2 linked regions of the Caenorhabditis elegans genome follow. The protein of the gene in region 1 interacts with the protein of each later gene in a pairwise test. Each region holds a gene or a part of one and is shown on either strand. Other genes may lie near its edges.

Region 1 (7,640 bases):
GCCGGTTTTGGGTTTTAGTGTGAAAAGTTTGCGTTTGAAAATACCACCCTAAATTCAGTTGATTTAACACTACGCGACCCATATTTCATGTGCAACGGGAAAGCCAAGTACACTGAAAACTCACTTTCAAATTTTCAAAGCAAAGTCATAATTTCGGTGGTCCAGTGGATAACGGCGGGAGCGGCGCCAGTTTTCAGTGTACTTGGCTTTCCCGTTGCACATGAAATATGGGTCGCGTAGTGTTAAATCAACTGAATTTAGGGTGGTATTTTCAAACGCAAACTTTTCACACTAAAACCCAAAACCGGCAGGATTTTCTTTCAGAATCGTGTAGAAAATGATATCAACTACCGGAAAAGTAGTTTTCCGACTCATATTTCCATGGAGTACAAAAAGCACTCCCTAGTAGGCAAAATCTCACACTCTGTCAAGCAATTGCTTTCCTTCAGTAAAACAAATGGCTGAGAAGAATCGTTTCGACATTGACAGGTCATAGCAGTCTTAAAATATTAAGGTTTTTTTTAAGTAAGATTGATTTGAATATCTTACCGTTAAAGCTCCGGGCTCTTTGTTTGGAATTGGTGTAATATAAAATGGATTTTCAGAGTAATACACTGTCTCGTTCCATGTCAAATTTTCCAATACAAAGTCGTAAGGGGTTTCTGTACTTGCGTCTGGATCCACAGTTGTTGTTCTCATGCTATCAGATGCACTTGATGAATCGGATGGTGTTTGAGATAAACCAGATGAATCTGAAGTGGATGGAGTTGAGTTAGATGAGTCTATGGTGGTGGAATCTGAAGTTGTGCCAGAATCCGATGTTGATGTAGAACTGTCTTGTGAAGCATCAGTCGTGCTAGCTTCCAAAGTCGACGTAGATTCAATTCCTGAAGTTGTGGAAATGGCTGAACTTTCGGAAGAAGATCCAGTTGAAGTTGTACTGGTAACTTCGGATGTACTTGTTGAATCCGCAACAACATTCAATGTGAAAATGTGGCTGACCACTTGCATTGTCGTCAAATCCGTCATGTTGATTCGAAACTCATAGGTGCCAATGCCAACAAGAAATGTTTCAATTGGTTGAATTGGAATATTAGAAGAATAAGTTGCGTTTAGGACCGTGTTTGCTGGAAATTCGCTTTAATTCAATAATTTCAAAAAGTTTGTTAATCCTACAGTAGTTTAAGCAAGTGGATTCCTTAATTATAAGAAAAGGCTCAGTAGACACATTTCTGCATTCAAATGTTTGGCTTCTCTAAAATCATTCGTTTCATTTGGCTCAACGATTTATTAAACCCGCCTCAGTAGGAGTAATGGCATTAGTTGGTAAAGGTACAATGTTGATGCTGTCTTCATTGTGACGTGTCTCGTTCCATGACAATCCACTGTCCAAGATGAAATCGAACTGATCGACTGACAAAGTGGAAGTTGAATCAGCAGTGGTAGAACTCGGACTGGAAGAAGTTGTGGATGTGTCCGAGATGGTAGTTGTACTGGAATCAGTAGTACTTTCTTCGGAAGTTGTTGTGGATTCTTGTAAAGTAGTTGTGCTCCCAGCCGACGTTGTCGTAGAATCGCTTGAACGTGTGGATGACGGCTCTGTGACTGTGGATGTTGATAATGTGGAAGATGGAGTTGATGGTGTAGATGACGTAGAGCTTGCTACAGCAGATGTAGAAGATTCCGACTCTATGGTGGTGGAAGAATATTCCTGAATATAAACGTTCGCATACGTGTAGTAAACTTTTTTATCGTCGGTTGTCATAGTTGCTCTGAAGGTGTAGTTTCCAGGACCAACGAATGTGCTAGCAGGGTACGTCCCTCCGAGACGTGGCATTGATACACTTTCTGAATATATTGAAAAAATATGTGTAAAAAATCTAAATAACTATCGCCCGAAAAAGGTTTGCTTTTTTTCCGATTTGAAGTTTTTATAGAAACGTTTTCAGAATTAAAGATTTTGCCTGTCTCTAATTTATAATAAGTCTTTATAAACAATTACTCGTGAAACATGCTCCGTCTTTAGTGGTTGAAACATAATTAGAAGATGTAGGGCTTGTACATTCGATGGATGTTTGATACTGAAATACAGTGTTACATTTGAATAATGCAGTCTTCAATATTGTACTTACTCCAATGATTCCGAGGCCGGAATTAAGCGTTAGGTTCACACTTGTGGAATCATAGAACGTTGTAGTTGCCTTTTCTACAAAATAGAAGTCTGGATTAGTTCCGTCCGAGCTAGTAGTTGTCTCAGATTTTGTTGTTGTTGAACTTTGCTGAGTAGACGTGGATGATTGAGTAGAAGAAGCGGTGCTTGACACAGACGAAGAAGCCGTTGAACTTGGAGTGGAAGAAGAACTCGATGGCCCAGTAGTTGATGTTGAAGGAGCAGTTGTGCTGGTTGTTACTGTAGACGAAGGAGATGTCGATGTGGACTCAGTGCTTGTTGGGGTCGTTACAGTAGTCGAGGAGCTTGAACTAGATGTCACCGTAGAAGTCACAGGGGATGTTGACGGGGAAGTAGTTACAGTACTCGTCGATGGTTCGGTTGTTGACGTTGAAGCAGTCGAGGTGGTCAAAGTAGTGGTTGGTTCAGTTGTTGTAACAGTAGAAGATGTAGATGTAACTTCTGTTGTGGTTGTGGAAGTAGATGGTTCTTCGGTAGTAGTGGATGTCAACATAGTGGTGGTGAAAGTGGTAGACGTAGTGGTCTCGTCAAGGTAGGAGCAAATCGCATTATCCGGGAGAGACGACAAAGTTGCTGAAAATTTTCGTTAAGGATTTTCTGGATAACTAACAATGCACAACAAGGTGATCGGTAATAGTGACTGCTTTGTTTTACCCTGAGCAAACTGTAATTGTATAAAATCTGAAATATTGGCAATACAAACGGGTTTGAAGAAAATTATTAACAATTTTATTCCTGCCTCTCAATCATAACAGCAAATTCTGGTTTGCTTGTAATTATTATTGTGCGTCCGAAACTCACATGTGATTTCGGGTGTTGTAGTGGTTGGAATACTTGTACTCAGTGTGGTGGAGCTCGGCGAGCTTGTGATTGTGCTAGAACTCTGCTGAGTTGTGCTAGTTGATGATGTCGACGTGGATGCTGTGGAAGTGAACGTTGTTGACGTGGATTCGATGGTGGTGGATGTTGATGGAGTTGATGTGCTTGTGCTCATTGCGGTAGTCACCGTACTTGTACTTGTTGGGACGGTTGTTGTAGATGTCACGGTACTAGTCACGGTTGTGGTAGTTGGAGTTGTAGTCGAGGTTGAAGTTGACTCAATAGTGTAGTCGCAAGTATTATCACCCTGGAATAAAATGAAAGTAAACACTATCTGAGAAATCGTACTCACAGCGTCTCGTTTCATTCTTCTCAAAGTAGGTGATCCAGAAGTCCTCATGCTAAACTGTTTTGCCCTGACACCCTTAAGTACCTGCCCATCATAATACACTCCTTGACTATCACTGATAGCTGTGCTCTTTTCAGAACGATCTGAAATACTGTTTAGCCAATGTTCATGAGCAATTAAGAACTGACAAGGTCGCTTGCACATTCTTCTCGCATACTCTTCGTTGATCTCTCCGCTCTCACACTTCTCTCGGTAGCCCAGCAACGCCATCTCGTTTCCACCGACTTGGAGCCACCATAGGGAGCCATCACATCTGTCGATACCGTCATCTGAGAAAGAGTTTCTATTAAAATGTTAGAAACACATAGCACTACATATGCAAATAACGTTTCACCAGATTCAGAATGCGCAATTCATGCCTATCTCATAGCCTACCTATGTGTCTACCTGAGTATCTACTTGAGTACCTTGCAAAGAAGATTAATCGGCACAAACCAAGTCAAGACTTTGTTGGCATAGGTCTTCCAGGTGAGTAACGCCGACATTATACATAGGTACGCACAAAACCTTCCCCAAATAATAATCCTTACCATAACAAACTTCATATTTCGCCTCCACAGCAATACTGATCTCATCGTCATCATTCACTTCATTCAAAGTAATCCAAGTTGAGTTCAAAAAGAGTCCGACAAGCCTGGTCTCTGTTTGGATGCAGTTGTGAATCTGAATAGGAACAACAAGGTTTTACAACTAAAAAAATACACGACTAACCAATTCCAAACTTGAAACTTCCGTAACCTTGTTCTCAACTGAAAGTCTATTCAATCCGCAGCTCAATTTGATTTTAACGACTCCTTGTGAATTCCTTGGAACTCCTCCAATTGTTGTGTCATCGTTGTCTAATCGAAAAGTTGCGATCCCGTCAAGAAGTTGGTAATGCAATCCATCAATTTGTATCTTAAAAGTAGTTTTATTCAGCTTTTCCTTCTGAGATTTTTCACTCACCGCCGATATTGCCAGTAGCAATAGAACAAAGAAGTTTGACTTCTTCATCCAATGAGCTGGAAGGTTATCTTGTAGAAGTTTTGTAAAAATTCGCCTGAAAACAAAAATGAATTCAGAGCAGAAAAGACAACAACTGAAAAATGAAGTTGTCGAAAAGCGAAAAGGCGGGCTGAATCGAAGGACCATCGCTGGGATACGTTAACGGCCCACAATTTCCATGGAAATTTTGAAGTTTTTGAAAAACTGACGAGGATTTAGAAATTGGGAAAGAAAGCTGTATTGTAAAGAAATTTATTAATGAAATTTGAATAATAAATTGAAATAAAAATTTTTGAATAAAAAAATTCTTCCAAACCAAACACCCAATTTTTTAAACTTTACAAATTTACTTATTAATGTCTGGATAAAAATATAACCACACAAAATCGGTACTCACCGTTCAAAATTTGACTGAAATTCCAGTTTTAGTTTAGCTCCCAATTAATATATTTTTCAATTTCCAAAAAAATTATTTTCTTCCAAACCAAACACCCAATTTTTTTTAAAACTACAGATTTATTAATTGATAGCTGAATATTATAAACATAAAAAATCGACACTCGCTGTTCAAAATTTTTACTGAAAATCCAGTTTCAGTGTAGCTCCCAATTAATATTACTATTTCAAAACGAAACTTTGGCACAATGATGAGAACAGTGGGATTTTTTTCAACTTTGCACAATTCAGATAGAAATAACAATAATTTCGTCTGACAATTTTACAGTATTCGATTGTTTCCCATTTCCTTGTTAGTTCAAAGTCTATAGATTGTGATTATGAATGACTCAATGAAATGTTCAAATCAAGTTGGTATCCGATAATTGTGTGTTTGATGAACGGAATATGCCGATAAAGAGATAATAAAATACAAAAAATATCTCTCTATCTCGTCACTTTATGTTCTCCTCCCTTATTCTTTTTCGTGATGTTAAGATATTTTTAGACAGTATTACGCATTACACCCCTCTATCATTTGTCTTTTTCTTTTTCTCCTCTTTTATCACTTATTCTTCGAATTCTCTCACACAATTTGACATTTGACAAGTCTCGACATTCTGAAAATGAGTCGAATCTCTCGCATTTCTATATTATTTATTTCTACTTTTGCTAGTCTTGTTGGCTTTTCAATACCATTTTCCGATTTTCGACTACCAGAAAATACAGTTGTGTGCAGTATTTTACAGGATGTAAGTTTATCCCAATTCAAAAAATTCCTTTTGTCAAAAAAAACAAAATTATTAAAACTAGACATTATACAGTGTGAGAAAGTTCTATAGGACCCCCCTCATTTTTGACGTTTCACCTATATTGAAAATTTTTTTTGAAAAATTTTTTCCGTAGATTGATTCAAAATGTCAAAATATGTGGACACAAAAATTTTCAGACTTGTACCTCTAAAACTGGCTGCGTACGGAAAAAAGTTGGAAAATCAGGTGTGCAACTTCTATAGGACCCCCTCATATTTTTGACGATTTCACCGGAAAAAAATAGTTTTTGAAGTTAATATCACGTAAATAGTTATGAAAATGAGAATAAACACAGTTTCAAGCAATTTCATATTGGCACTTGGTGGTTGACCCACAACTGTCCTCTAACAGTCCTGTAACAGAAGTTTCCACGTGTCATCTGCCCTATCACTACCAAACTTTACAAAATGATACATGACACTGTTCTAACAACATCCCTAAGTTTTTGGAAAAATCCGAAAAGTTTGAGCCCCGCTGCACCGCTGAAACCGTACATGGGCCTCATTTTTCAGGCCGTTTCTCCGTTTCAGTGTGTATAACTCGGGTCACGGTGAACCCCCGACTTTGAAAACTGTTCAATAAACTCGTATGAACATTACGCTAGCATCCACAAAAAAATGGTCACGATTTCGTGGTTGCAATGTTCTAAAAATTTACTTTTACCCTGAGTCTATGAAATTATGCATAATAACATCATTATTAGTACAGAAAACTTGCTCTATTGACAATTTTATTCTGGTTCAACTCAGAGGCTGGTAAATCCTTATTGCTAATCACAGATACACTCACAATGATTGTGAGAGTTCATTGAACAATTTTCAATGTCGGGGGTTCACCGGGACCCGAGTTATACACACTGAAACGGAGAAACGGCCTGAAAAATGAGGCCCATGTACGGTTTCAGCGGTGCAGCGGGGCTCAAACTTTTCGGATTTTTCCAAAAACTTAGGGATGTTGTTAGAACAGTGTCATGTATCATTTTGTAAAGTTTGGTAGTGATAGGGCAGATGACACGTGGAAACTTCTGTTACAGGACTGTTAGAGGACAGTTGTGGGTCAACCACCAAGTGCCAATATGAAATTGCTTGAAACTGTGTTTATTCTCATTTTCATAACTATTTACGTGATATTAACTTCAAAAACTATTTTTTTCCGGTGAAATCGTCAAAAATATGAGGGGGTCCTATAGAAGTTGCACACCTGATTTTCCAACTTTTTTCCGTACGCAGCCAGTTTTAGAGGTACAAGTCTGAAAATTTTTGTGTCCACATATTTTGACATTTTGAATCAATCTACGGAAAAAATTTTTCAAAAAAAATTTTCAATATAGGTGAAACGTCAAAAATGAGGGGGGTCCTATAGAACTTTCTCACACTGTATAAGTGAATCTTTGTAAGAAAGCTCTGAATTTAATACAAATAAATGCGCATATTTTAGACTAAATGTGAATGGAAGCAAAACTGGAAGAATGCAGAGGGTGTGAGAAGAGAGCTCGACGCAGGAAAACCACCAATTCAGTTATTCTACTTTTGTAAGGAGAATCGCACTGAAACCTGTGGAATTTGGTTAGACGAGGTACTTTACACACACGCAATGGAGGCTAACATAATTTTTTGTCATAAACTTTGAATGATTTTGAAGTCAAACACTTTGGATCTTAAATTAATTGTTGTCCATTTCCAGAATGAGAAACCAATCGAGGATGCTCCAACAACTGACCGATTATCTGGCGAAGCTTTCATAATCGAAAAAATGGGTCTTCATGTTCTTGGAGACTATATGAAATTTCCTGAGGAAAAGGGAGATAAAAAGCTGATAATTGAATAACTTTTGTTGTCTTTTGAATATTCTCATCATTTGTATGTATATAAATAGCCTATTTCAATTCCATTCTCTTTTTTTGACTGTGGTGGTCAATGAAATGACCGACCGTAATAAAATGCTTTTTGTTGCCTTGAAGTTTGATGTTCGATTGAAAAAACGATAAAAT
Region 2 (5,963 bases), on another chromosome or scaffold:
CGGTAATTTCAACAGCATATGAATAGTTTTTAATAATTTCCCCATTAGTCGTAGTCCACTTTTAACTTTAATTAATAATTAAAACCATTAAGGTTTAAAACCGAATTTCAAAAAAAAATTTCGATATAGAAGACTAAGAATAAAATATAACTTTAAAGAAAGAAGTTATGAAAGTTTTTGTGAGTAAAATGAGTACCAATGTGTATTTTGGGAGGCACGGGGTTGGTGATGAACATTATGTGTTGTATTACGCATGCCATAGACCAGTTTTGCGCGGATTGCATGATCAAGTCGATTGACTTTTCGTCTTTTTCGATTAAATTGATAACCGATCCAGAATAATACTTATATAATTTCATTGAATTACAAAATTCAAATGAGTTAGTAAAAAACTAGAACATTCAGTAAAATTTCAAAGCTATTTGCAAACCACAAACTTGAAATTTGAAAAAAATCAAACATGGAAACTCTAGACAGTGTACACAGGACAAATTACACTGATTAATCTATATCAACTCGCCAAGTTTACAAAATTTCGTCGAAAAACTGATAAGCACATGCAAAAATTCGTGTGAATTGGCTCTAGATAGAAAAATATGAATTGGCTCTAGATAGAAAAAATAACTAAATCGATAATGTTTCGTGTCGTTTTCGATGTATTTTTATGGCTCGCTATCGGCAGCAGCTACCGCTTGTGGCTGTTGTTGGGCCCCTTTTTGACGAATTAGGTGAAGAGAATCGAACGGAAATGAAAATTTATATGAACACAGAGTGGAAGAGTGGTGAGAGAGAGAGAAAAGAACGAAAAGCAGGTGGAATCAACAATGAAAGTGCAAACAATTGTGCTTATAAACAATTTGGATTTGGATTTTTTTTCAACAATTTTTAAAAATTCTATTACGATGAGAAGTAAGAAATATGAATGGAATAAATAGAAGTCTGAACAAATTTTTTTGAAAACGAAAAATTGAACATTTTGTTACGAAGCGTTTTCAGGTTCTAAAGTATTATTTTTTAGGAAAAAACATTAAAAACGTCCCAGTAATCTACTTTTAATAATTTTGAACTAATTATTGAGTAACATTTAGTTTTAAAAGTTTAGAAAAAGCATGGACACTGAAAATTAAAAAAAAACATGTTTAAACAGAGAAAAAAATTTGAAAGATTAAAGGAGCGCGCGATTTGTAGCATGAGGGTCTGCCACGAATTCTACAGTTGTTCAGATCATTTTTTTTGAATTATTCCACAATCTTTCTTCTCTTTGGAATTTAATTTTTCTCGAAAGTTATTTAATTTTTCTATAAAAATGTGCATTGCAGTTTTAAAATGTTTTTTTTTTCAATTAAACGCATGAATGTGATTGGTACACGCGTGAGACGCAAGTTCTCGAAAATCTGCGATTGCGAAAGGCAAAAGTATTCATTTTTTCGAAAAAATAAACAAATTGCTCAAACTAAATTGAATATCGATCGTCTTTGCCCTCAATATTTTAAATATCACGCTTTTGAAAATTATTTCGAAATAAATATTCAGTTTCAGTGAGACTCATTCAATTGAACCTGATCACGTGCTGAAAGTCTGCTGTAACAATGAAGGTTTGTTCGTTTTCCTATCTCTACTTTAATTAAAAATAGTGTTAAGAGTAATTGTTCATTCAAATAGATTTTTTTTCATTCAGTAAAAAATGATTAAGTTTTCGGAAAGGAAGAAAACAAAACAAAAACATAGAAAAAAGTGTGCACGAACGAACACACAAAGCATATGCGTCAGTGTCTTAACCCGTCTAATGTCTCTTCATCCCCCTACACTCTCTCTTTCAGTTCACCCGACTAACACATTCAACAAGCAAACCCGTTATTGATTCAATTTTCTTTCGTAATATTCCTTTTTTATATTTTCAGAAACAAAAGTCATTTCCAATGTCTGCTTATGAGGATTTGCTCGGAAAAATCACTGCTCCAACTATCACTGTTGAGAATTGGGAGGGAATTCTCGCATTTTGTGATATGGTTCGTTCAATTTGTTTTAAAAAATGTATAAACCTTTTCACTGATTTATAGATAGAATTCTTTGTCGTTTGATAAAAAATCATATTTTAAAATTAAAATTTCCTCCTTAAATTTGCTAGCTGATTTTCACCGAAAATCATTGATTTTGGACTAAACTTAATGTTTTAGTTTAAAATTTTCAGATTAATAACGACTTCGAGGGATCGAAAACAGGAATCAAATCACTTCGTAAACGTCTCAACAATCGTGATCCTCATGTTGTCCTTCTAGCGATTTCTGTACTTGATTCGTGTTGGGCAAACTGTGAAGAAAGATTCAGAAAGGAAGTATCGTCTGCACAATTTATCAATGAACTCAAAGCTCTTTGTACATCGGTGAGTTTTTGTTTAAATCTGAAATTGTTAAACAAAATATCAAAATTTCTTTCATGAAGTTTTGTATTTCTTTAATAGATATAGTATACGCAGAAAAGAGATAAAAAAGAGAAATAGAGTTAGAAAAATAAGTATAATACGAAAATACGATACATTTCACCGCGTTTACAAAAAAAAATACAAAAATTTACAATTATTATAGAGTCAACGCCAAGTTGCTGAAAAAATGCGATTAACTGTTCAAAAATGGGTGGATACAGAATGCAAAACTGAACAATCACTGTCACTTATCGTCACTCTTCACAAAAATCTTGTTGCTGATGGCTACTCATTTGTTGTGGATGATCCAAAAAGTAAAACGAAAGCGATTGATGCAAAGTTTGCAAATGATCCGAATTATGTGAGTTGTGGAAGTTCGCGGCAATAAATATCAAAAATTAATAATTATTATAGGTTGGATCTGCTCAGGAAGAAGAAGCAATCGCAAAAGCCATTGCTGCTTCATTGGCGGATGCAGAGAAACAGGAAAAAGCAAAAAAATCAACATCCACAATGTATCCATCAGCAAAAGCAAGTAGTCCAGCAGTTCAGACTAATTCGAATATTCCGGAAAAGAATGTTCGAGCGTTATACGATTTTGAGGCTGCTGAAAGCAATGAATTATCTTTTGTTGCTGGAGATATTATTACAATTACTGATGAAAGGTAAGCAACAAAAATGTGTTCTAGTTTAAATTGAAAGCAATCGCTTAAAAATCAAATCAGGAAGTTCTTCAGTTTTTTTTTTTGTAATTTAAAATTAATCATACCGAACCTTTTCGTTACTGACTGCTTCTATCAATTATCAAAAAAAAAACAATTTTTTGCAGCAATCCCCACTGGTGGACTGGTCGTATTGGTACCCAACAGGGACTTTTCCCATCCAGCTTCGTTACTAATCAACTCGATGATCTAAAATCAAAAGAGACGGATTCATCACAGAAAGCCCCAGAAGTTGTAGCCTCAATTAATGAAGCAATCCTTGTTCGTTGTCTTCAAGTACTCCATGAATGTGATCCTACCGGTGAACGACAGGATCCAGAGGATTTGGCCCAACTAGAAGCCGCCTCGTATGCTCAAGGAAATCTCATTGATGCACATTTGGCTAGTATTGATCGACAGAGCAACTCTCTAGCACAAATCGATGTGGCTATTCGTGATGTGCTCGCACTTTATGATGATGCGATTCAGAAGGGAGGATTTCAGCATCAAAGTCAAGGAATGTACCAACAACCAATGCAACAGTACAACTATCAGCAACCAGTCAGTTTTTATTCAGAAAAAAATATTTAGAAAACTGAAATTTTTCATTCTAAGCTTCACGGTAATGCCTATCAATTCAAAAAATCGTATTTTTCAGCCAAACCGAGCATATTACCCACCTACCGGTCCTGTCCAACAACAGCAGCCACAACAATATCCTCCACAACACTATCCGGCTCCTGGAGCACAACCACAGTACGCATGCCCACCGAATTCTGTTCCCCAACCTCAACAACAGCAACAACAATGGCCTGCTCCGTCTTCACAGCCTCAACAATATTAACTTTTTGATTTGTTGTGAATATCACCTTTTCCTCCTTGAATCTGTAACTAGTTCCATTGATATTGTGATCACTTCTAACTTATTTTTCTCGATTCGCCACCCGTTTCTGTATAGTCTTTTGCTTCCTCGAGTTCTCGATAAGATAAAAATGAATTCTTTATTGAGTTTGAGGCAAATATTTATTATACACGAAAATAATCGGATAAATTGAGAAAAGGTAACAAAAATTACAAGAGGTCCGGATCAAAAGATGGCATTGAAATTGATGCATTGGCTGCTCGAATGGATCGTTTACCCCATCCACCGCCTCCCCATCCACCTCCACCCCATCCACCTCTTCCACCACCCCATCTTGATCCTCCCCATGGATCATTGTTTCCCCATCCACCACCTCCATTTCCACCCCATCCTCCATTATCTCCGAAATCGTCACGTCCCCAACCTCCACGTGGTGGTTGACGAGATGGATTAGTCTGACGAACTTGTGCAACTGGAGCAACTGATCCAGCTGTAGTTCCACACATTCTACGAAGCTCTGATTGAGTATAGCAACTGTTACAGCTTGATCTACAATTCTCAGCCATCCATGGATTTTTCTGACATTCACCGACACGAGCCCATCCGGCACATGATCTATGGTAGTCGACGCATGCTGAAATATATATTTTTTAATTATAAAAATATTTTTTTAAAAATAAAGCTTACATCCATAATTGTAATCTTCAGGATAGCAATGTCCACATGAAACTCGACAATTACATGCCATATATCTTGTATTTTTTCGGCATTCTCCCATTAATCCCCATACAGCACAGCAAACATTCTCATTGAAACAACCATCAGAATTATCACACTGTTGAGCTGGAGCAGGTGTCGTCGTGGTTACTGTAGTACCACCTCCTCCACACTCTTGAGCACGTGATCTACCACATTTATTACAACTTTTACGGCAATTTTCAGTCATCCAGAGTTGATTTTTGGTGCATTCACCGGAGCGGGACCAGCTACTGCATTGGGTATGACGATCAGTGCAATCTGGAAAATTATCGTAATTTTGCAGTTTTTCGATACACGAACTTAGAGGTGCATGGGTTTATTTGGTTTTTATGGGGCTTGGAGGAACTTTTATTATTTTTGGTCAGTTTTTATTTGTTTCATTTATGTGAGAGTTTATATTTTTCAATTTTATCTTTCTAAACATGAACGGCGCCGGAAAAATCTAATAAAGATACCATAAACTTTTTCCCGGTGGGACCCTTTCAAATAACCCCATGTACCTTTAATTTTCTGAAATTGCCAAATTACAATAGCAAACTTTTTAAAAAGAATTTTACCGAAAAAACCCTTGTGGTAATTTAAATATTTTTTAATTAAAAAATCCTAAAATACAAAATACACTCACCATCAGCCAGTCGATATTTGGGTTTACAAACACCACAACTGGCCTTACACCATTCATTCATATAAGCCGTATTCCTCGAACATTCCCCAGATGCTGCCCATGATGCACAACACTGATTCTCATTGAAACATGATTCTTGAGATTGTACTGGATTTTGAGGTGTTGGAGTTGTTGGAGCAGGTGTTGGACGTGGAGCTGTTGATGAGAGAACACATACACCGTTTTGGCAGATTCCTGAGAAACATGGATTCACACGGAATTGACCACATTGAGATCCTGGACGAATACGAGATACACAACGGGCGGCCCCGGTGGAAGTGTCACAGAAAAGGAATCTGAAATTTACAAATTCCAGTAAGTCTTCCACGGTAGACATCAAGAATATTCCAAATTTTTAGTGTGTGAAAATGTATCATCAAAAATGATCTTATATCTTGTACGACAATCTTTCAAGTTTCACATGAATTTTTTATCTTGAAAGTTTTTGATTCTAAAAAAATTAAACCCTGCCAAAAAATAGCATAGCTGTAATTTTTCAAATATTTGCGTAACATTTCCTAGGTTATTCTGATAATTTTCAAAAAAGTCTCACTT

The links. Proteins that work in one complex are often made in the same cells at the same time.
Region 2: the proteins of lov-1 (region 1) and stam-1 interact in a two-hybrid assay, tested with the Caenorhabditis elegans proteins (one study listed by BioGRID).

Annotation. Positions count from the first base shown.
Region 1 is NC_003280.10:10,117,414-10,125,053, forward strand, and holds the start of lov-1 (Location of vulva defective 1), read right to left. Parts: upstream 4,413-7,640; coding exon 4,365-4,412; intron 4,317-4,364; coding exon 4,131-4,316; intron 4,083-4,130; coding exon 3,950-4,082; intron 3,689-3,949; coding exon 3,548-3,688; intron 3,503-3,547; coding exon 3,363-3,502; intron 3,318-3,362; coding exon 2,993-3,317; intron 2,765-2,992; coding exon 2,133-2,764; intron 2,082-2,132; coding exon 2,003-2,081; intron 1,849-2,002; coding exon 1,301-1,848; intron 1,256-1,300; coding exon 1,177-1,255; intron 1,128-1,176; coding exon 550-1,127; intron 501-549; coding exon 422-500; intron 1-421. Other genes in the region: F27E5.7 (DUF2147 domain-containing protein), read left to right, coding at 5,465-5,590, 7,088-7,225, 7,334-7,477. UniProt on the Caenorhabditis elegans protein: Required for two aspects of male mating behavior: response to hermaphrodite contact and vulva location. Acts in the same pathway as pkd-2 and atp-2 in response behavior. May be required for ciliary targeting of pkd-2.
Region 2 is NC_003279.8:5,900,266-5,906,228, reverse strand, and holds stam-1 (Signal transducing adapter molecule 1), read left to right. Parts: upstream 1-1,533; 5' UTR 1,534-1,589; coding exon 1,590-1,595; intron 1,596-1,901; coding exon 1,902-2,009; intron 2,010-2,191; coding exon 2,192-2,383; intron 2,384-2,585; coding exon 2,586-2,783; intron 2,784-2,836; coding exon 2,837-3,087; intron 3,088-3,251; coding exon 3,252-3,684; coding exon of another isoform or gene 3,685-3,714; intron 3,715-3,781; coding exon 3,782-3,967; 3' UTR 3,968-4,124; downstream 4,125-5,963. Other genes in the region: tyr-4 (ShKT domain-containing protein), read right to left, coding at 4,195-4,619, 4,673-5,002, 5,370-5,704, 5,962-5,963.